Linked DNA regions of Oryzias latipes. The protein of the gene in region 1 purifies or fractionates together with the protein of each later gene. This does not show direct contact. Links are inferred from orthologs where the notes say so. Each region holds a gene or a part of one and is shown in the gene's direction. Other genes may lie near its edges.

Region 1 (4,676 bases):
TTCTGTGGTTGGAGGTGTGAAACTGCATACCTGACACGCTAACGGTACCTGACACGCTAGTGAGACCTGACACGCTAGTGAGACCTGACACGCTAGTGAGACCTGACACGCTAACGGTACCTGACACGCTAACGGTACCTGACACGCTAACGGTACCTGACACGCTAACGGTACCTGACAAGCTAACAGTACCTGACACGTTAACGGTACCTGACAGGCTAGTGAGACCTGACACACTAACGGGACCTGACACGCTAGTGAGACCTGACACGCTAACGGTACCTGACACGCTAGTGAGACCTGACACGCTAACGGTACCTGACACGCTAACGGGACCTGACACGCTAGTGAGACCTGACACGCTAACGGTACCTGACACGCTAGTGAGACCTGACACGCTAACAGTACCTGACAGGCTAGTGAGACCTGACACGCTAGTGAGACCTGACACGCTAACGGTACCTGACACGCTAACGGTACCTGACACGCTAACGGTACCTGACACGCTAACGGTACCTGACACGTTAACGGTACCTGACAGGCTAGTGAGACCTGACACACTAACGGGACCTGACACGCTAGTGAGACCTGACACGCTAACGGTACCTGACACGCTAGTGAGACCTGACACGCTAACGGTACCTGACACGCTAACGGGACCTGACACGCTAGTGAGACCTGACACGCTAGTGAGACCTGACACGCTAGTGAGACCTGACACGCTAGTGAGACCTGACACGCTAGTGAGACCTGACACGCTAACGGTACCTGACACGCTAACGGTACCTGACACGCTAACGGTACCTGACACGCTAACGGTACCTGACACACTAACGGTACCTGACACGCTAGTGAGACCTGACACGCTAACGGTACCTGACACGCTAACAGTACCTGACACACTAGTGAGACCTGACACGCTAACGGTACCTGACACACTAGTGAGACCTGACACGCTAGTGAGACCTGACACGCTAGTGAGACCTGACACGCTAGTGAGACCTGACACGCTAACGGTACCTGACACGCTAACGGTACCTGACACGCTAACGGTACCTGACACGCTAACGGTACCTGACACGCTAACGGTACCTGACACACTAACGGTACCTGACACGCTAGTGAGACCTGACACGCTAACGGTACCTGACACGCTAACAGTACCTGACACACTAGTGAGACCTGACACGCTAACGGTACCTGACACGCTAACAGTACCTGACACACTAGTGAGACCTGACACGCTAAAGGCCCGTACACACCGGGACGAATATTCGCCAGGCGTTATTCGCCAGTGTTTTTCAACACGCTGTTTGTGTTCACACCCAGGCGATTTTCGCTGACGGTTAGCCGAGCGAACATGCAATTTCATTCCCTGACATTAGATGGCGCTTAATGTAAACAGAAATACTCCTGTACACAAGGTGGCGCTGCGCAACTTAACGCTTCTTAAAGTCGCTTTTCACTCAGAAGAAGAGAGCAAGTATTTACGCGCTTGTCAGAATCATACAAAGAAAACATGAATATTTCAAGCATCAGTAGCTCCAACTGGTGCTTTGTTCGGGGATATTTTAGAATGTCCGTCATTATTTCTTCGCGGCAGTGTAGACGCTACTTGGCGTCTATCTTCTTCGCTGGTATGTGTGCTCAGCAAGGCAGTTTTGTGTTTGAGCGCCCCCAAGTTGTGTTTTACTGTAACTTCAGAAGCTCCAGACACGTGTGCAAAAGCGCCATTCTCATCGGTCGAATAGATTTCGACGCGACGCGTCGAAAAAAAAAACGAACCCGAGGCGTTTTTTTTTTTGACGCTTTAGCGCGTGGCGTTTTTTCGCCTCGGTGTGCACACTCTCATTGGTGCCCTTTGTTTAGTCACGAAGCGTTAAACGTCGGCGAAAATCGCCGGCGAAATTCGTCCCGGTGTGAACAGGCCTTAACGGTACCTGACATGCTAGTAATACCTGAAACGCTAACGGTACATGATACGCCAGTGAGACCTGACACGCTAACAGTACATGACACGCTAGTGAGACCTGACACGCTAACGGTACCTGACACGCTAGTGAGACCTGACACGCTAACGGTACATGATACGCCAGAGAGACCTGACACGCTAACAGTACATGAAACGCTAGTGAGACCTGACACGCTAACGGTACCTGACACAATAACTATTACTGACACGCTACTGATGCATGACACACTAACGGGATCTGACACGCTAGTGAGACCTGACACGCTAACGGTACCTGACACGCTAGTGAGACCTGACACGCTAACGGTACCTGACACGCTAGTGAGACCTGACACGCTAACGGTACCTGACACGCTAGTGACACCTGACACGCTAAAGGTTCCTGACACGCTAACGGTACCTGACACGCTAGTGAGACCTGACACGCTAACAGTACATGATACGCCAGTGAGACCTGACACGCTAACAGTACATGACACGCTAGTGAGACCTGACACGCTAACGGTACCTGACACGCTAGTGAGACCTGACACGCTAACGGTACATGATACGCCAGAGAGACCTGACACGCTAACAGTACATGAAACGCTAGTGAGACCTGACACGCTAACGGTACCTGACACAATAACTATTACTGACACGCTACTGATGCATGACACACTAACGGGATCTGACACGCTAGTGAGACCTGACACGCTAACGGTACCTGACACGCTAGTGAGACCTGACACGCTAACGGTACCTGGCACGCTAGTGAGACCTGACACGCTAACGGTACCTGACACGCTAACGGTACCTGACACGCTAGTGAGACCTGACACGCTAACAGTACCTGCTACACTAACGGGACCTGACACGCTAGTGAGACCTGACACGCTAACGGTACCTGACACGCTAGTGAGACCTGACACGCTAACGGTACATGATACGCCAGAGAGACCTGACACGCTAACAGTACATGAAACGCTAGTGAGACCTGACACGCTAACGGTACCTGACACGCTAACGGGACCTGACCCGTTAACGGTACCTGACACGCTAACGGTACCTGACACGCTAACAGTACATGACATGCTAGTGAGACCTGACACGCTAACGGTACCTGACACAATAACTATATCTGACACGGTACTGATGCATGACACACCAACGGGACCTGACACGCTAGTGAGACCTGACATGATTGCAATACCTGACACCCTAGCTGTACCTGACATGCTAACCTCTCTCTTTCTCAGGCAGCGGATGTTAAGCTCCGCCCACTTCCTACAGACGCTGCTGCACATCATCCAGGTGGTGATCAGCTACTTCCTGATGCTCATCTTTATGACCTACAATGGTTACCTCTGCATCGCTGTGGCAGCTGGCGCCGGCATGGGCTATTTCCTGTTCAGCTGGCGAAAGGCTGTGGTGGTCGACATTACGGAGCATTGTCATTAGCCACAATGCTAGTTAACCTCACAACTCTAACACCTGTTAGCTGTTTGCTAGCAGGAATACCAAGTAATTAGCAGTAAAAGACGTATAATCACAGATGTTAACGCGGTGGGAATGTCGCGCCGCCTGTCGGCTGGAAAACCCAAAACGTTAGTCTTGCGGTGAACCTTTGAAGTTAGACAAGCCGGCCAATGGGAGGGCAGAATCTTATCAGCCAAACATCTTCTTTCCTTTAGTGCCATGACCACATTGGTTAGCGTAGCTCCTCCCCCTCAGTATAACCAACCAGGAACCTCATGTGGGTATCGGTTTGACAGACGACCTGGAACCAGCACAGACTTGTTTTGTTTGATTTCCTGTTTACACTTTCTTTGTCGACATGACAAATTGTGTCTTTATTTAAATGTACACACAGATTCTCATGATTATTCTTGTTTCCTGTGTCTGTGGAAGAATCGACCAATCAGAGCGCAGCCATGTGATCATCCTGTACAGCTCTCAGGTAACCGACTCTGAGCATCAACGATGTTGATCGCTCGCCGCCATGGGCCTTAAATCCTCCGTCTGCTGCCTTACTCAGCAGCCATCCGCTGTTGTCATGGAGATGGAAACCCCGCCTCTGCTCTAGCCATGTACACTGAGGTGGGCGGGCTTTATCTTTTGGACCAATGACGGCGCACAGACAGTTTGATGAAGGGCATGTGACCTCCTGTGATTGTTGTGAAGGTTTTATCAAAGTGTTTTATGCCAACATGCTGGAATTATAACAGAATAAAGTTCTTGTGTTCTGGTTCTGGACTCCTTTCATGACATCAGTGAACTTCTAGGTGTGAGGTCAAGGCCACCCCCCACCCCCCCACCCCCGTATCATAAGGCCTTTCCTGTGGCGGACGCCTGGTTGATGTCATTTCTTCTGTCATGACGTCATCCTGGGGTCTGCTCCTCCTAAAAGCGGTTTTCCAGGTCTTTCCTTGTGTTGTCTGCATGTCCAGGTCGGCAGGAGGAGACCGGAAGTAAATATTAATAATAAAAATCACTTAAGGAACCAAACCGACCCTTGACGTTCAAACCCTCCGGTCCGGTTCTGACCCGCCTCTCTGCTGCCCCCTTAGTTCAGGTTCAATGATGTTCCCCATAACGCTGCTGGTTTCTGTTCTCCAAGGGTGGATGGTTCTGGTTCTGGTTCTGGATTATCTTCACTGAACCCGACATGTCACAGAACATAAAGGCTTAGAACCCAGCGGTGCAGATCCACGTTGATCCGAGG
Region 2 (5,269 bases), on another chromosome or scaffold:
AGCTTTTGAACATTAATTATTTATTGAATATAAAACAAGAAATGACCAGTTTATAAGTTAAATGATCAAATAAAGACTGAACATGTGAGGCGGGAATAAAACAGAAGAAGTCTGTTTGATATAGTTAAAAACAATTATTCTGTGTTCTCTGAACAGAGCCGCATTCAGAAAGTTATTTGTACATTTGACAAATTCTTTCATCCGAGGTGGACCCCCCCCCCCCCCAGGTCCTCTCCTCCTCCCCTTTGCTGGTGGTGCTAAAACAAGAGAAAGCTGTAAGCTATAACCTGGTTTTCATTGAAATACTTTGATTGACATCTCAGCTCAAACGAGCAGTGACTTTACACTCTATGAGCAGAAGTGTTGTGTTGGGATCATCTCACACCCCTGAAGGTTCAGCAGCAGAAGATGAGCAGCCAAAGCAGGAGGTTGCAGGGGTCAGGGGTCACTTACGCAGCCAAATGTGTCTGTCAATAGCAGGGCGAGGCTGGAGCCCAGCCAGGACAGGGAGCTCATGAGCGCCCTTCCACATATTCCAGCTACAGAGCAAGAATGAGTCTGTAATACAACACAGTTGCATGTTGCTGTTGACGAATACAAATATGTCATTGATCTGCCAGTTTGGAAAAAGATAGTGCAAAGATATATATTCTATATGTGGATAAACACCTGCTGCCTCCTACAGACCTGCTGCTGCTTCCACGACGCTTCAGGTTCATGTCCTGCTTCCTCCTATGTCTGTGATCCAGATTTCCACTCCTCTACTGAGTGGAGACGAAGGGTCCAAAGGGGAGAGAACTGCAGGGGACCTCCACCTGAGGAAGACCTCCACCTGAAGAAGACCTCCACCTGAGGAAGGCCTCCACCTGAAGAAGACCTCCACCTGAGGAAGACCTCCTCCTGAAGAAGACCTCAACATGAGGAAGACCTCCACCTGAGGGATACCTCCTCCTGAAGAAGACCTCCACCTGAGGAAGACCTCCACCTGAGGAAAACCTCAACATGAGGAAGACCTCCACCTGAGGAAGACCTCCACCTGAGGAAAACCTCAACATGAGGAAGACCTCCACCTGAAGAAGACCTCAACATGAGGAAAACCTTAACATGAGGAAGACCTCCACCTCTGTCTCCTTTCCCCCCTCCTTCTCAAATATGTGGCCTTCAGACTCTGTCATATTTTTTGAATAAACATCATTTTGCTCCAGCGCGCTGAAACTATGTTTTAGTCCTTTATTGTTAATGTTATGACTTGTTTTTGTGGAGTTGACTCGTTTCCATCCTAAAGGACCGGGGCGCAGCAGAACCCTGAAGCCTTGTCTCCAGTCTTTGGTGGGAGTGTCCCCTGGCCCCTGCGGCTCCTGCGGCTCTTGGCTCCAGCGGGGCCGGGCCGTGCGCGTCATGTGACCGGGGAGTGGCTGCGAGTCAGGAAACGGCGCAGCTCCAAGTCTCAGCGCAGGTAAAGTCCAAACGATCCCAGAAACGAACCGAACCGTTCTAGAGCAGGTTTTGGTCTCGATCCAAAATCCTACCGCGGGTTTCGGAGCGCTTCACTTTCTGAGGACAAACGGCGAGATGTCCCGAACCGGGCTGGGGGCGGGTGGGGGGGCAGTTGTGTAGAGACCGGTAGTTTCATGAGCTAAACGTCACGTTGACGCTTAAAGTTCGGGGTTTTATAAACAGAAACTCCGGGAGAGAGCAGCCGTCACGGAAGGACACAGACCGTGGTGTTCCGAGAAAGTCCTCTGATTTCCGCATTTGCGGCTGCTGGAAAGACTGCAGCCCCACCGACCGACCGCTGCAGGCGGCAGGCTGCCCCGTAACGCACGGCGGAGGGGGTCTTGACGGGGTCCTAAAAACGCGTCATCATAGCAGACGCTGGAGCGCCGCTGGTCCCGGAAACGCGCGTGAGCAACTGCCTGACCCGCGTCAACGCCCCCCCCCCCCCCCCCCAACTGGCCCCCGATCAGAGCAGACTGGGCATGAGCCCACGTTGGTCCAGCATGGATGGGGGTCAGGGGTCAGCTGGGCTGGTGTTTGCTGCAGCAGCTCTTTGGTTCTGACCTTCAGCGTTTCAGAGTTTCAGGATTTGTTCTGAGAGGAAAAGCAACTTTCCTTCTTTGTGTTTTCACTGCCTCCATCACTCAAAGCTGTGAGGAAGTTTCCATCATCTCCATTTGTTATCAAAACGTTGGTTTGACCTCAGACTGTTGATGCTTATGTCAGACAAACGCTGATGATGGTGTAGTTTTCCCTCCTGATCCTGTTGGTACAGAGTAAGCCCACCTTCACTTCCCGTCATCCATAGCTTTAGCGGCACCACAAGAATGCTGCTCAATATTGGAGCTGTCCATGGATCTATTTGTCTGCAGGTGGGGGCATCAGAATGGAGCAGGGCAGGGACACTTTGGCCTGGCCAGAGTATTTTCTACATCACTAGTCTTCATCACAGTCTTTTTTTGTCTGCTCCTGATTGACAACAGTTTTGGGTTTGGGTTTTGCCAGCACCCGTCCTGCTAGTTAAAAACCTACTCCAATGAAAATGGTGTTTGTGGTGTTTTTACATGTTCTTGTAGCATTTTCTAATGATGGAGGACATACATATATATAGAAAATCAAGCTTAAAACTGCATTTCTGAGTATTTCTTTCTTCAAATCGTTGTGAATCAGGAGCAGAAGAAAAAATGCTGTTTGAAAAACCTCTTAGTTGTTACGTAAACTACAATCAGCAGGTCACCAGCTCCCTGCTCTGCTCTATTCTGATCTGTCAGACAAACAGATCCGTGAACGTCTTTGTCTTCCTGGTCTGACCTGGAATCTGGATCAGAACTGGACGGATGATAGATCTGATGTTGATCACCATTTTTGTTGCATCACTAATATTAGCTTGAGGTTGTGAGGGGCTGTAAGCTAGCAGGGGAGAGTTGTAAAAAGATGGATGACGGGAAGGGGGGGTGTTGTGCTTTTCGCCAACAGTCCCGCCCACACCTTAGAGGGGAATTTCTAATGAATTACTCCCAGTCCGCAGAAACTATGTCCTAGAAAACGACAACGTTTTCTGATTTAGTCTAAAAACAGCAGAATCGTAGTGAAAAGACCGCTGGGAACACTTTGACAATAGATCATAAGATGATGGTTGGGGGACTTTAAAGGTTAAACATGCAGTTTGTATGAAAGCAAGACATAAATGTGTCTTTCTGTGTGAACTCAGCTCTCATCATGGCCTACCAGGCTGGGATTCAACGGGAGCCCGCCGCTTTGGTTCAGAACATCAGCTCCAACATCCAGAGGATCACACTACTGAGTAATGCACACACACACACACACACACACACCCACACAGACCTGTGCACATGCTGAACCCCACTGGACCCCCAGCATCCTCACTCATGGATCTGTGTTCCAGCCTCAGAGCTGCAGAGGGCCGTGACCCTGCTGGGGACGGAGCAGGACAGCAGCCAGCTCAGACAGACGCTGTGAGTTCTGACCGCCTGCTTGATCACACATGCAGCCAAATGAGTTCAAACCGACAGCCGGCCTGTCTGTGGACGGTCACCATGCACACACACACATACGTTTCCCTTGTTCCTTCAGTCAGTTCATTTGTAAAGACTCCTGAATGGCAGGAAGCAGACTGTCTTTATTATTTTAGCATCTAATTCATTCATCAAAACAGAAAGATAACTTTAAAAAGATGTTCTAAACACATACATGTTCATATACACACATTGGAGATGCAGGTTGTTACTAAAGTAAGTTCTATTCTTATAACAGTGTTTTACTTGAATGGGATCATTTGTCCCTGTTTTAAAACAGTTCCATTCAGTGGGTTTAAGGTTCAAAAAGTAGTTTTCAACCTTTAGAATAGTTTTTTTTTACTCTGTACTCAGCTAGCTCCTGAAACCCGAGCATTTTCCACGTCAGGAGTAATGGATTTGTAAGATTTCTGTTTCCTCGAGTGAAACGTTTCACAGATGCTTCCCTCTGGTTCTCAGTCAGCAGAAACAGCAGCAGGGGAACCAGCTGGCCAAGGAGACCGACCAGCTGATCAAGGCCTTCACCGCCCTCCCCGTCGGTCCCGATCAGGTACGAGGCCCCTTCGTCCCACGCACCGATCACATCGAACCCGGTCAGGAGTTTGTGGGAATTGATCAGCTGTGTTTGTGTTTTCAGAGGCAGAGGAAGCTGCAGAAGGAGCGTTTGCTCAATGACTTCTCTGCTGCGTTGAACAGTTTCCAGAAGACCCAACGGCAGGCCGCCGACAAGGAGCGGGAGTTCGTGGCCCGAGTCCGAGCTGGCTCCAGGCTGTCGGTTCGTATTCGCCTTCGTCATTTCTGGGAGTGCTGTGAGCGAGAGCTTTCCGTGCACGCTCACCTCATACTCACACGTTCCACAACCAGGACCATCCGGGTTCTTTCTGAACAACACTGCCATGGTTTCCCGGTTTCAGCTGTTCTGGGCCATAATGTACCATCTGCTCAGAGTTTGGCTGAACGTTCAGACGTAGACAGGTTATTCAGATGAAACCCTCCAGCTGAGGAAATGAGAAAAGCTTCTTCCAGTGACAGTGTGTCTGGGTTTATAGGCGTGTTCAGGATGGAGTGGGTGAGTGTGAGCGCTGTGAGGAAATGTTTCAGATGGTCAGGTGAGCAGATGCACCTGTCCCAGCCTGTTCCAGACCCAGCATGAGCCTTCCGCTGGTTGGGGGGCAGATCTCTTTATGTTGATTCATTGATGGTTGTGGTTCTTGCTGGCATTCAAACATCTCCATAAAGTAAGAACAGGCATTGTCCTTGTTGTGGATACGGTCCTCACAGAAACAGGAACTTCTCAGTAGTTTCGCGGCTGGACTTAGAGGTTCAGGTCCTCCACAGCTGAAGATGTTTTAAGTTGCCTGTAAATTGTCTCGAGCAGGGAGGTCAGCCTGATGACGGCTTCGGACATCTTCCTCCAAGGTGAGCTGGCTGTCTATGAAGGTTCTTCTCCTCGCCTCTGTCGTGGCTGCACTATTGAAGCCATGTGGTGTGCTTGTATCTGCAGTTACTCCCAGGTCCAGACGGAGGCTGAAGCCATCACAGAAGAAGACCTGAGGCTGATCCAGGAGCGAGAGTCATCCATCAGGCAGCTGGAGGTCAGCAGCCCCCTGTGTTTGTGGTGAGGGTCATTCTAAAGCTCCTGCTCATCTCTCTGTGCTCTCTAGGCGGACATCACAGACATCAATGACATCTTTAAGGACCTTGGCATGATGGTGCACGAGCAGGGGGACATGATA
Region 3 (5,307 bases), on another chromosome or scaffold:
ATTGAGAGGTTATAAGCGAGTCTGCAGCCGAGTTTTTGCTTTATTGTGAAAGGCAGATGTCTCACTTCCGCTAATAGCGTTTTCTTCATATTCTCTAATAGTGACGGTTACATTGAACTGTAAATATTATACTTTTAGTTGTGGTTACCAGCTACCATCTCTTTCCTTGGTCTGAAATGAACCACATGAGCTTCTTAAAGCATAAGTGCTTAAAAGAATACAAAGAAAAATTTTTTACGGTTACCGCAGATTTGTTCTGAGGATTGGGAGACGTTCCCTGTTCTTGCATCTTCAGCGTGCAAAAGTGAAACACAGCCTGCATTTTAAAGATATTTGTTTTTGGTTTTTTTTATTTCAAACCAGTCAGCAACGTCAAGGCTAAAATGACAGACAAGTGATGAAATTGTTTTTCAGTATGACTCTGGACCACAAATTAACAGTTTTTTTTTTTGTGGCACTGAAAAGTCATGTAAACAAATTCCTTTTTTTATTTGCCTTTAGATAATTTTAGTTTCAAATATATGTATTTTTTCCGTTAACTTCCATTCATAACATTAATGCTTCCCTTTTAGTGCACAAAGAGATAATTCGCTAGAAATTTTGCATTGGGAGGGACCTCGGACCATCAATGAACCGTTTGTTTCTCTCAGGTTGATGACATTTGATCAAACCTCATCTTTCTGGGAATAGTTAGCTGTGTTACTTTTTTTTGTTCTTTTTTTTTCCCACGTAAAAACCTTAAATCCACCTGGAATTCTTGCATTTTTAGTAAAAACCTGTTAATTGTAGCTTATTCAGTCCCTTCCAAATGTGACGCTGCATGAATTTCCCTTGAACCTGAGCCACAGGGCTGCAGTCAATCCAGGCAGGTGTGCCGTTTCTGTTTTTTAACCTCTAAAAGCTCACAAGCTTTAAAAAGGATTTAGTGAAAGTATAGGTTAAAAGTGAGCTTACATTTTTTTTAAATAAAGTTTGTTTTAGAAAAAAACATTGATAATCCTCTCAACTTTCAAGATTTCTTTTTTTTCTCTGTATATAAATATGTATATGTATAAATATAAAGTGTTGTGGCTCCATCCTCTCTTTTTCTTGGCCTTTTACAGGTTCAGATCTCTGAAGATTGTGTTGAATCATAGAAAACTACATATTTGAGAGTGAGTGTTACAGTCTTGTCAGCGACAATAAAAGGGAAAGTCGTTCTGCCTTGTCAGTGTTTTATTTGTATGTTGCAAATAAAGGAAACTTCTTTGACTTTATAGAATTTGCATTTTCTTTGTGGTTTTTTACATTTACATTAATATTTTCTTTTTAAAACACGTGTGAAAAATGTGGTTAATGTAGAATGATGAGCTCAAACAAAGAAACCATTGTTTCCCAATTTAAATGGGATTTTCAGATTAGTGTTGGGTCTAAAGTGGTTTTAAAGACCAAACTACGCTTTGTTGATTCAAAAAGTCAGACTGGTGTAGAATCTTGGTTCTAAATTCAACTGGAAAATGTGTCCAGGTCCGCGGAACTATTAGCAAATGTTTCAAGTGGGACTCGTTTTCGTGTTGCGCTGATTCCGGAAGTAGCTGTTGCAGGCGCTGCGGAGATGTCACAGCGCAGTAAATGAATGGATGCTGCGCTCGAAGCTCCAACGGGTCCATCTCTGTCCCTCCAGGATGACATGAGACGTCGCGGTCGTCGCTCCTCGTCGCCTTAAGTCCCGCCTCCCGCCGTTTCCGCTGCTGGTAGGATCAGACGGAAGGCGCCGGGTTAACTTGGCCTGCTTTGTCATCCAGTTATTTAGCATTCGACCTTTTCTTTTTGCTCGTAAAAGTCACCCTGAGATTTTTACAAGTCAGAAAAACACTCTGGTATTTTTAATTGTTACTACACTGAGCATTTAAAAGCAAAGTGATATTTGTAATGGGTTCCGTGTGTATGTTTTAAACATTCTCATTTCAGGATACCATAACCATGGCAACAAGGATGAAGCTGAAGCTGAAGACAGTGTTTGTGATGTACTTCATGGTCTCCCTGATGGGTCTCATCTATGCTCTTATGCAGCTTGGTGAGTGATGCATTCTCATCTTTCTGTGTCCCGTTTAGAGCAAAAATATCAACACCTCGTTACATTCCTATAATAAAGTATTTGTACGGGAGAAATGAATGGTTTAAACATATAAAAAACTAATTAGAGTACTGGCAAAACACTGAATATAGAATATTCATTTTTTCACATTCCCTTTCTAAAACTATTTTTTAAATAAAACCAGAATTCAAGCAGCTACTAATAGTGACACCAGTTCCCATATACCAGGCATGTCCAAAGTCCGGCCTGTGGGCCAAATGCGATCTGCATTCATATTTCTCCTGACCCACAGACTCCTTTCATAAGTCAATAATATGTGACCCCCAGCCTTTTCTACTAACTGTGCATGATTTCTTGATAGATTTTTAAGCTGTTGTAAACCTGTGGCAACTCTGTTGTGCAACTCTTCTGTCGCACATGTTTTTTTTTTGTTGAAAGAAAAATAATCGTTACCAATCACATTTATATGTGTACTAAATAAATAGTACTAGATAGTTCTAAATAAATAGGTTTTAGAATTTGCGACTGTACCGTCTTTCTGTTAAAGTTCATTAGTTTTCATACAAGGCAAATCAAAAGACACCCCTAATATTGCTAAAAACCCAATGGGAAGAGGATTTAGGCTTAAATATCACTGAGAAAGCCCTAGACAGAATATACTCTTCCTCAATTTGCTCACGTCACAGGATTACTCAATTTAAAATTGTACATAGACTCCATTGATCTAAAGCAAAACTTACAAAATTCATTCCAGATATTTATCCAATTTGTGATCGATGTAAACAATCAACGGCCACCAACTCTCATATGTTTTGGTCCTGTGTAAAATTAAGTTGCTTTTGCCATTCAATATTTAAAGTATTTTTAAGATGTTTTACAAAGGCCTATAAAACCTTCTGTAATTTCTGCAATATTTAGCGTAATCCCACAGGATCTTAATCTCAACCACAAAGCACAAAACATAATTATCTTTGGGACCTGAATTGCTAGGAAACCTATTCTTCTCAATTGGAAGGATCATTTTCCTCCAACTTTAAAGATGTGGATAAATGATCTCTTACATGGTTTGGTTTTGGAGAAAATTCGCTTCTCTGCTAGGGGGTTGTACACAAGATTTTTTTACCACTTGGAATCCCTTCTTAAATTATATAAAGGACTTAGATGTCTCTGCTGTTAGAATACTTAATGATTGACTTTATTTTGGAAATGTGCAATTGAGAGGTTTACTTCTTTTGAAAATGTATATTTTACAAAATATTTGTAGTATGAAAGAGTGGTGCAGTAAAGGGGAGGGCATGTGGGGATATGTCATACAAACTTAATCCTTGTACCCTCTGTTTAAATTTGAAATACCAATTAAAAAGACGGTGTAAAAAGGTTCAGTAGTTTTAGAAAATCTCTTCCAAAATTGACGTTCCATCTACGTCTCATAAAAATTACAAATTTATCCCAGGAACAGGTAGAGAGGCGGGGGGCGGGCCTTAGACTCACCGCTTATGATTCCAGACCATCAACAAACCAACAGCTGCTTCCTAATAAAACATAGTTGTCATCCATAAAATTATTATAGTTTATTGGGTTTACTGGATTTAAAGAAAAAGAAAAAATAGAAACGAGTCTGCATCAAAGTGAATTTGTTACGACAGACGGAAAAGTCTATTCAGGGTTGTGGGAAATGGACAAAAGATCAAAGGAAACATCACGCTCATAAAGAATAAAAATAATTAAAATAAATAATTAAATAACTATCCTGACAGTATTTTGAATCAATACAAGTACTAAATGATATGATATGTCGGCAAAAGCATTTTTTCTAACACACCTAGTGTTGCGGCTCCCTGTGCTTTCATCTCAGTGGGAAGCGGATCCAAATGGCTCTTTGAGAGGTCCAGGTTGCCGACCTCTGGGCTACGGTATGAAAATGTATCAGAACCTTTCGTCCTCTGTGTTGAGCAGGTCAGCGCTGCGATTGCACAGAACACATCATGGTGAAAGATCGCACCATATCCCGCCTGCAGGAGGAGCTTCACCACCTGAAAGATGTCATAAAGAATTCGGAGGCGACCAAACTACCCCCGAAGCAGCCAGCCAGAGGCCCCCCGCCCACCACCATCTTCGTCATCACTCCCACATATGCCAGGTAAGCCCCGCCTTTCCTGGTGTTTCGTGTCTTCAGCTAGCTCTGGGCTCTAGCGGCTCCTCTGATCTTATTGTAGGCTGGTGCAGAAAGCAGAGCTGACCCGCCTGTCGCAGACTTTCCTCCACGTCCCTCAGCTCCACTGGATCGTGGTGGAGGACTCGCCCCAGAAGACTCCTCTGGTCACCGATCTTCTGAAGAAGAGCGGCTTGGTCTACACCCACCTGCACGTGCCAACCGCCAAGGACCACAAACTCCAGGAGGTATAGGGCTGATCCTGTTTTCTCCAGGTCTTCAGGTTTGTTTCAGGTCCTACTCCTGTTTTGTTTTTGTTTTTCGGACAGGGAGACCCCAGCTGGCTGAAGCCCCGTGGCGTGCAGCAAAGAAATGAGGGGCTGCGGTGGCTGCGAGAGGACAGACGGGCTGAGGCGGGAGGGGACAACCTGCAGGGGGTGGTGTATTTTGCTGACGACGACAACACATACAGTCTGCAGGTGTTTGAAGAGGTGAGAAATGAGATGTTTAGCTGTTTCCAGAAACAGAAACTTGAAGGTTTGAGATTTTTCTGGTTTTGACTCAGATGAGGAGCACCCAGCGGGTGTCAGTCTGGCCGGTGGGGCTGGTTGGTGGGATGAAATACGAGAGGCCCGTGGTCGAAGGAGGAAAGGTACATTCACAAAAACAGTATTTTGGGCCTAAAGGTTCTTGTATTTTTGCAACTACTCACTGATTCCTTAACCCTTTAACACCGGAGATGTAGCCGGCAGAACCTGAATAACACACGCTCTTTGACATACCATAAATCTTCGACTGTTTACATCAGGGTTCTGCAACCTTGAATAATAATAGGAGCCATTTGGGTCTGTTTCTTACTGATCAAAACCTAGTAGGAGCCGCCCCTTTTAAAAAATGTCAGACTGCTTTGCTTGACGTTTCTCTTTTGGTATAAATAAATCAGATATATACAAAGAAAAAGCCTTTTCTCTAAATGTGAAATTGCGCTTTTACTGTTGAAGCGCGTATGACTTCCTTTCAAAATAAAAGACATCCTGTGCTACACAGGATCGTCCCATTGAAGTTAGCGTGCTCCCAT
Region 4 (5,189 bases), on another chromosome or scaffold:
CTCCGAATCGTCATGTGATACAGAGGCGTCCAGCAGCCACTGTGACGTGATGCTGGTGAACGGGCTGGGCTCTGACTGCAGCATAGAGAGCAGCATGGAGCCCGACGGCCCTCTGCTGCCGCACAGGGACAGCGCAGGCCTGGACGCCATCTACAACCTCTATGCAATATCAGTAGGTCACACGTATGTCACAGCAGCAGTGAAGAAGAGTCCTGGTGCCCACCAACCTGACTGACCTTCTGCTCTGTCCTCAGTGCCATTCAGGAATCATGGGAGGCGGCCACTATGTGACGTATGCCAAAAACCCCAACAGAAAGTGGTACTGCTACAACGACAGCAGCTGTAAGGTGAGTCAGCAGATGAGGGAACTGCTGCAACTCTTCCACAGACTTTTGAATCTTTATTCAATTGAAACAAAGAAAGAAGAACTTAGAGTCTGTTGTGTTCAGAGCCGTGGCCTGGCAATTAGATTTATGTGCTGGTCCAATCAGATACGTTTAAACAAAAAGGTCTATTCAAAAATTTGGAGGTCTTTAACCATTTGGAACCGACGGACGCCCCGGGTTGTCCTTCCCAACGGCTGGTACTTTACTAAAAAGGCAGAAGATGAAGTCCCGCCCCACGCCTTTGCGGGAGGTGAGAGTTCACCCTGAACACAGAGGAGGCGCAACACACGCCTCCACCTGTGAGCAGATTCCAGCCAAGCAGAGTACCTGAAATCCAGCTGCAGGGTCGGAAAAAAAAAAGTTTTTCTGTTATGCTTTGCCACTAACGCAACAAGGACAAACAAATAAAAAAGCTGCACAAAACCCCCCAAATTCCTGGAAAATGCCAAATGGACAGCAAAGCACCCAGAAAACACTTTCAATTTTCTTTGGCTGCCTGGAAGCTGAAGCCACACAGTCAGACTGAAGTGTCTGGATAAGAACGTAAGAAAGGTCACAGCATGAGGCCTGCCATGTGGCCTCCGTTTAGACATCTGACACAAACAAATCTGTCCATTTGGTTCTTTTGTTCTTCTTATTTTTATGAAATGGCACCTGACATTTTCATTCTGTTGTAAAAACGCTTTGTTGAACATTCCTACAGCAAAATTAATCACTTTGTTCCAGACGGAATGTTCTGTTTTTTTTTGTGGTTTCATGTCTAGTGTGTGACGACAACATGGAAAAATGACAAAATGAAGCTAGTGTCACAGGTGAGGTGGTGCATATTAAAATGATACCAGACAAGCAAGCAATAGCATTTCAAATGGGAAATACAGAGATACTTTCAAAAGTTGACAAAAACTGAGTTTTGGCCCTACCTGTGGATGAGCTGGGAGATCCAGTGTTGGTTTACCTGCCGGAGCGTTGACCCTGCAGCCATCGCACACAGAACGTTAGGTGTGCAGCTCAAAGTTAATGTTGGAGTATTTGTCCAATTATTTGGCGTTGATCAATATTAAAAGACCCAAAGTGATGTTTGAGGTCAACGTGGATCAGTACAGTTGACTGATCCGACTCTGAAACTCTGCTGTTCTGTGGTCAACAGGAAGTGCACTCTGAGGAAATCGATACGGACTCGGCCTACATCCTGTTCTACGAGCAGCAGGGAGTGGACTACTCCCGGTTCCTGCCAAAGACTGACGGCAAGAAGATGGCCGACACCAGTAGCATGGACGAAGACTTTGAGTCCGATTATAAGAAGTACTGTGTGCTGCAGTGACCCCTGCTCGTCTTCCATCAGCCAGCGCTTCCTGCGGCTCCGCCCCTCTGAGCGAGACGCTCCGCACGTTCGATCCCTCTGGAGCATCCTCACAAACTGCTGAGTGCTGCAGACGGGACCCTGCTGCTTGCGCGCCTTCAGAGAGCACTTTTGAAACACGAGTTTTTGCAAGAAGGTTTTGCCAAGGCCACAGTGAAGCCCCGCCCCCCCCCCCCCCCCGACAGCACTGCACAGGTGCACTTTGTTGAGCCTTGCAAAACAAGCTCCACCCCTTCTCGTTGTGAATCTCTCCATTGCATACATGTAACATGTGCCAGCACGTCTGCGAATGTACGGCAGTCTGACGCGCCACGCAGTGACGAAGCGGAGGCGCTCCGGGACGAGGAAGAGGCGTTTAAGTTCCCAACGGAAAGCCACATTTCCAGTGTGTGTGTGCAGGTGTCACATGTGCTGCCAGGACCAACCCCCCCCGTCTGCGGGGCGTACTGTGACCAGCGTTTTAGGAATGCTCCTCCAAAAGTTTTAGTCGAGATAATTCGAGTCATCTGCTACCTCATCGCTTCTCTGCAGTTTCTTCCCCAGGAAAGGCTGGAACAGTGTTAACGTCTATGAGAGGCAGGACATTTCAGGCTCCCCGAGCGCCAAAAAGGAACGTTTGCCCCGCTTCCAGGTCATGCGCATCCATCCTGATGCTGATGGGAAGAGGAGGCACTTCTGCCAAACACACGTTTGATTCCAGCTCTGCCAAATGTCTGTGGCTGTGTGTGCCGTGTGGACCAGCGCGTGGCCAGAACTCAGCGGGGAAGCTTCCTCTGAGAACGGTGCCATGGTTTCAAACTACACACATTAAGATAGCAAATGTTTTCCCTCTGCAGTTCTGTTGTTTTGTGAGATTTTTTTTATTTTTGTAAAAAAAAGAAAAGAAGCAGTCTGTGCTTCAGAAGCTGTCTCAGTGTTGTTGAAGCAGGCTGATGTGTCTCCTCCCTCACACGCCCTCCCCTGGCTCCGTCCTTCCTCCCTACATGATTTTAAAGTGACTTTTATCGTATCACGCACCTGTTAACTTGACACACCCTGAATGTTTCAATCCAACAAAGTGAGAGCCTCAGAAAAAAGTCCTGTAAAGTCATAAAAACGGCATGACTTTAAAAAAAAAAACAGGGCAACAAAAAGGAGGCCTCAGGTGTCATGGATGGTAGCTGCAGAACCCCCTGACCCCTGACCCTAGAAATGAACCAGTTTGAAGCCAGACTTGGCACATTTTCCTGCCCTGGCGTTGAAGTGTCCATAAAGGAGCAGACCCAGCGTCACGGGCCGCACGCAGGACAAAGTCCACTGCTAAACCATTTCAATTGACTGCCAGCCCAAAGGCCAGAATGCATTTCAGCATCTGTAGGGTCCATTCGTTCTCCATAAAGATCCCATTCGTTGAGATTGTTTTTAGGTGCATCTCGGTTGATGCAGGACTTGGCTCTGTTTCTAAAGCATCTCTACATTTGCTTGTTCTCTGCTTGAGTTGGGCTCCCCCCTGAGGTCCCATTGCTTCCTAACTCACTCCTCCCACCTGCCAACAGCAGCGTTGCTGTGAGGAGGAAAGAAATCTGTGACTAAAGAAACTTTCTTTAGGCTGATCCATTTGTTGAACAAATGAGTGGTTTTTCTGCCCAGCTCTCCGTCTTCTTCCTGCAGGTCTGAGCTGCAGAGCCGTTCGTGTCGTCTTTAGAAGTCAGAGGAGGATTTGTCTCTACAGAACTTCTTTTAAAACATTGGCTGCAGTTAAAGGTGCAATACATGATGACTTTTGTATGTGACTGACCCAGTGCAAGTCCATGATCTGCAGCTCCGCGCTACTGACCCCGCCCCTCCCTCAAAGCCCCGCCCCTGAAAAACAAGTGGACAGGCAGTGCAATCTACTACTGAGCTGACTGTCAGTGTTTGTAGCCTCTTCTTATTTAAGTTCATTAATGTTGGATCTTAACCTGATGTGTTAATTTAAAGAAGATTTTTGTAAGTTGTTTGTTGACAGAAAGTGACATTGCACTGACATGAAAACATGTACATAAATGTGTTCTGTAAATAAGCCAACGAAAACTATGTATTTGAATACAAAGTGTACAAATACTGTAATTGTAGTTGTATATGGAGTGATATTGTTGATCTGTAACAAAATACCCAAGCAACAAATTAAAATCTGCAGAGGAAACAGAGAGCAGTTTTTGCTTTTTTAAGACTGCCGGGTCTTTGTTTCTTTTTTTCAAAGGTTGAAAATGTGTACAAATTCTTTTACTACTCACTACTTAGTGCATTATAAAGGGCGTTTGCCAATTTATAGAGCTTTCAAATCTACAATTCCAAATCCATTGGCCTAGAAGTTTCCCAGAAGTCCCTGTAAATAACTGGTGGGCATTGATGCTCACTAGATTAGCAAAAATAGACAACAATGCTTTGCATTTCAACCATTTTTGACCAAAAACATAATTTTTTTTAAATAAATGATCTAAGTTTTCATAATAAGAACCCAGTAAATTATATGGATCCTGTTGCTGATAATAGAGCCCACACCATTAATACTCCTCTCCCTTACCTGACCTTTAATATGAGAAGTTTTAAATGAAAAGTGTTTTCTGATATCAAAAAACATTTTCTATCAGTCATTTGAGGCCTCTGCAGTGGGTCTGCGTTTCGCCCACAAAGACCAAAATCCAAACTTTTGCAAAGATGGATGTGCACAAAAAATGAAAGCGTTTAGCTCCATGGAGAAAGTGTGTGTATTTGCCTTGGGTGGGTGCTGCCTGGAAGGGGCTTTTCTTCACTTTGTGATGTCACAATGTGAGAACCCACTTGTTTTCGTGGGTTGGGAGGGGCTGGTGCTCAGATAGCAGGTTTTTGGAGGAATGCTCAGATATGCGTGATTAGTTGAAAATACCACTTAGGAATGAACATTATAATAAAGCTTAAAAAAGGTTGCCCTTGCATGGTAAAGGCCCTTTAATGATTTTATTTTTCACCTTGAAAATGCCCCGATTTTTGATGTTTGTAAAACCTTGTTTTGTGTTTAGAAGGTTAACGAAGGATCAACCCATTGATCTGGAAATGAGCCAAAACCTCAACACAAGAGCCACTGCTTTGCACACGTCTCTGCACCCAACAACAGCTCAGAGCTGTGTGCACACTGACCCTAAACATCCTATCAACCTTTTATAACACTGTTGGAAAAGACCTTTCGCTTTGAAGCTTTTCCACGCGCATTCAAAAAGTCGAGAGTAGAAACCACAGAATTCAGCCGGGTAAAGTTACATGATATTTATTGCCCTAACAATAGTTCTAAAACAAAAGTCAAACAGATCTGGGTTCTCAATGTAAAGGCCTTCAAAACGTAAGAAGTTTACATGCGCTTTACATGAAGGCAACAGGAGAACAACAAAATAGTCCTCTGCTCCAGTTTTTAAAGATGTTCTGGGCTTCTTCCCCCCCGTGGACAA

The links.
Region 2: the proteins of slc31a1 (region 1) and stx7 purify together in Homo sapiens (affinity purification with mass spectrometry; 3 studies listed by BioGRID and IntAct, counting the BioPlex papers as one, with this or other methods). This does not show direct contact. The link is inferred for Oryzias latipes from reciprocal best matches to the Homo sapiens genes SLC31A1 and STX7.
Region 3: the proteins of slc31a1 (region 1) and b3gat3 purify together in Homo sapiens (co-immunoprecipitation; 3 studies listed by BioGRID and IntAct, with this or other methods). This does not show direct contact. The link is inferred for Oryzias latipes from reciprocal best matches to the Homo sapiens genes SLC31A1 and B3GAT3.
Region 4: the proteins of slc31a1 (region 1) and usp32 purify together in Homo sapiens (co-immunoprecipitation; 3 studies listed by BioGRID and IntAct, with this or other methods). This does not show direct contact. The link is inferred for Oryzias latipes from reciprocal best matches to the Homo sapiens genes SLC31A1 and USP32.

Annotation. Positions count from the first base shown.
Region 1 is NC_019870.2:343,156-347,831, forward strand, and holds the end of slc31a1 (high affinity copper uptake protein 1), read left to right. Parts: intron 1-3,210; coding exon 3,211-3,412; 3' UTR 3,413-4,201; downstream 4,202-4,676.
Region 2 is NC_019882.2:21,986,664-21,991,932, forward strand, and holds the start of stx7 (syntaxin-7), read left to right. Parts: upstream 1-1,989; 5' UTR 1,990-2,004; coding exon 2,005-2,149; intron 2,150-3,208; coding exon 3,209-3,301; intron 3,302-3,403; coding exon 3,404-3,473; intron 3,474-3,992; coding exon 3,993-4,083; intron 4,084-4,170; coding exon 4,171-4,308; intron 4,309-4,911; coding exon 4,912-4,952; intron 4,953-5,034; coding exon 5,035-5,128; intron 5,129-5,197; coding exon 5,198-5,269. UniProt on the Homo sapiens protein: May be involved in protein trafficking from the plasma membrane to the early endosome (EE) as well as in homotypic fusion of endocytic organelles. Mediates the endocytic trafficking from early endosomes to late endosomes and lysosomes.
Region 3 is NC_019876.2:12,983,908-12,989,214, reverse strand, and holds the start of b3gat3 (galactosylgalactosylxylosylprotein 3-beta-glucuronosyltransferase 3), read left to right. Parts: upstream 1-1,974; coding exon 1,975-2,056; intron 2,057-4,033; coding exon 4,034-4,217; intron 4,218-4,293; coding exon 4,294-4,477; intron 4,478-4,558; coding exon 4,559-4,720; intron 4,721-4,794; coding exon 4,795-4,881; intron 4,882-5,307. UniProt on the Homo sapiens protein: Glycosaminoglycans biosynthesis. Involved in forming the linkage tetrasaccharide present in heparan sulfate and chondroitin sulfate.
Region 4 is NC_019871.2:30,207,767-30,212,955, forward strand, and holds the end of usp32 (ubiquitin carboxyl-terminal hydrolase 32), read left to right. Parts: coding exon 1-172; intron 173-254; coding exon 255-347; intron 348-1,533; coding exon 1,534-1,707; 3' UTR 1,708-3,916; downstream 3,917-5,189. UniProt on the Homo sapiens protein: Deubiquitinase that can remove conjugated ubiquitin from target proteins, such as RAB7A and LAMTOR1.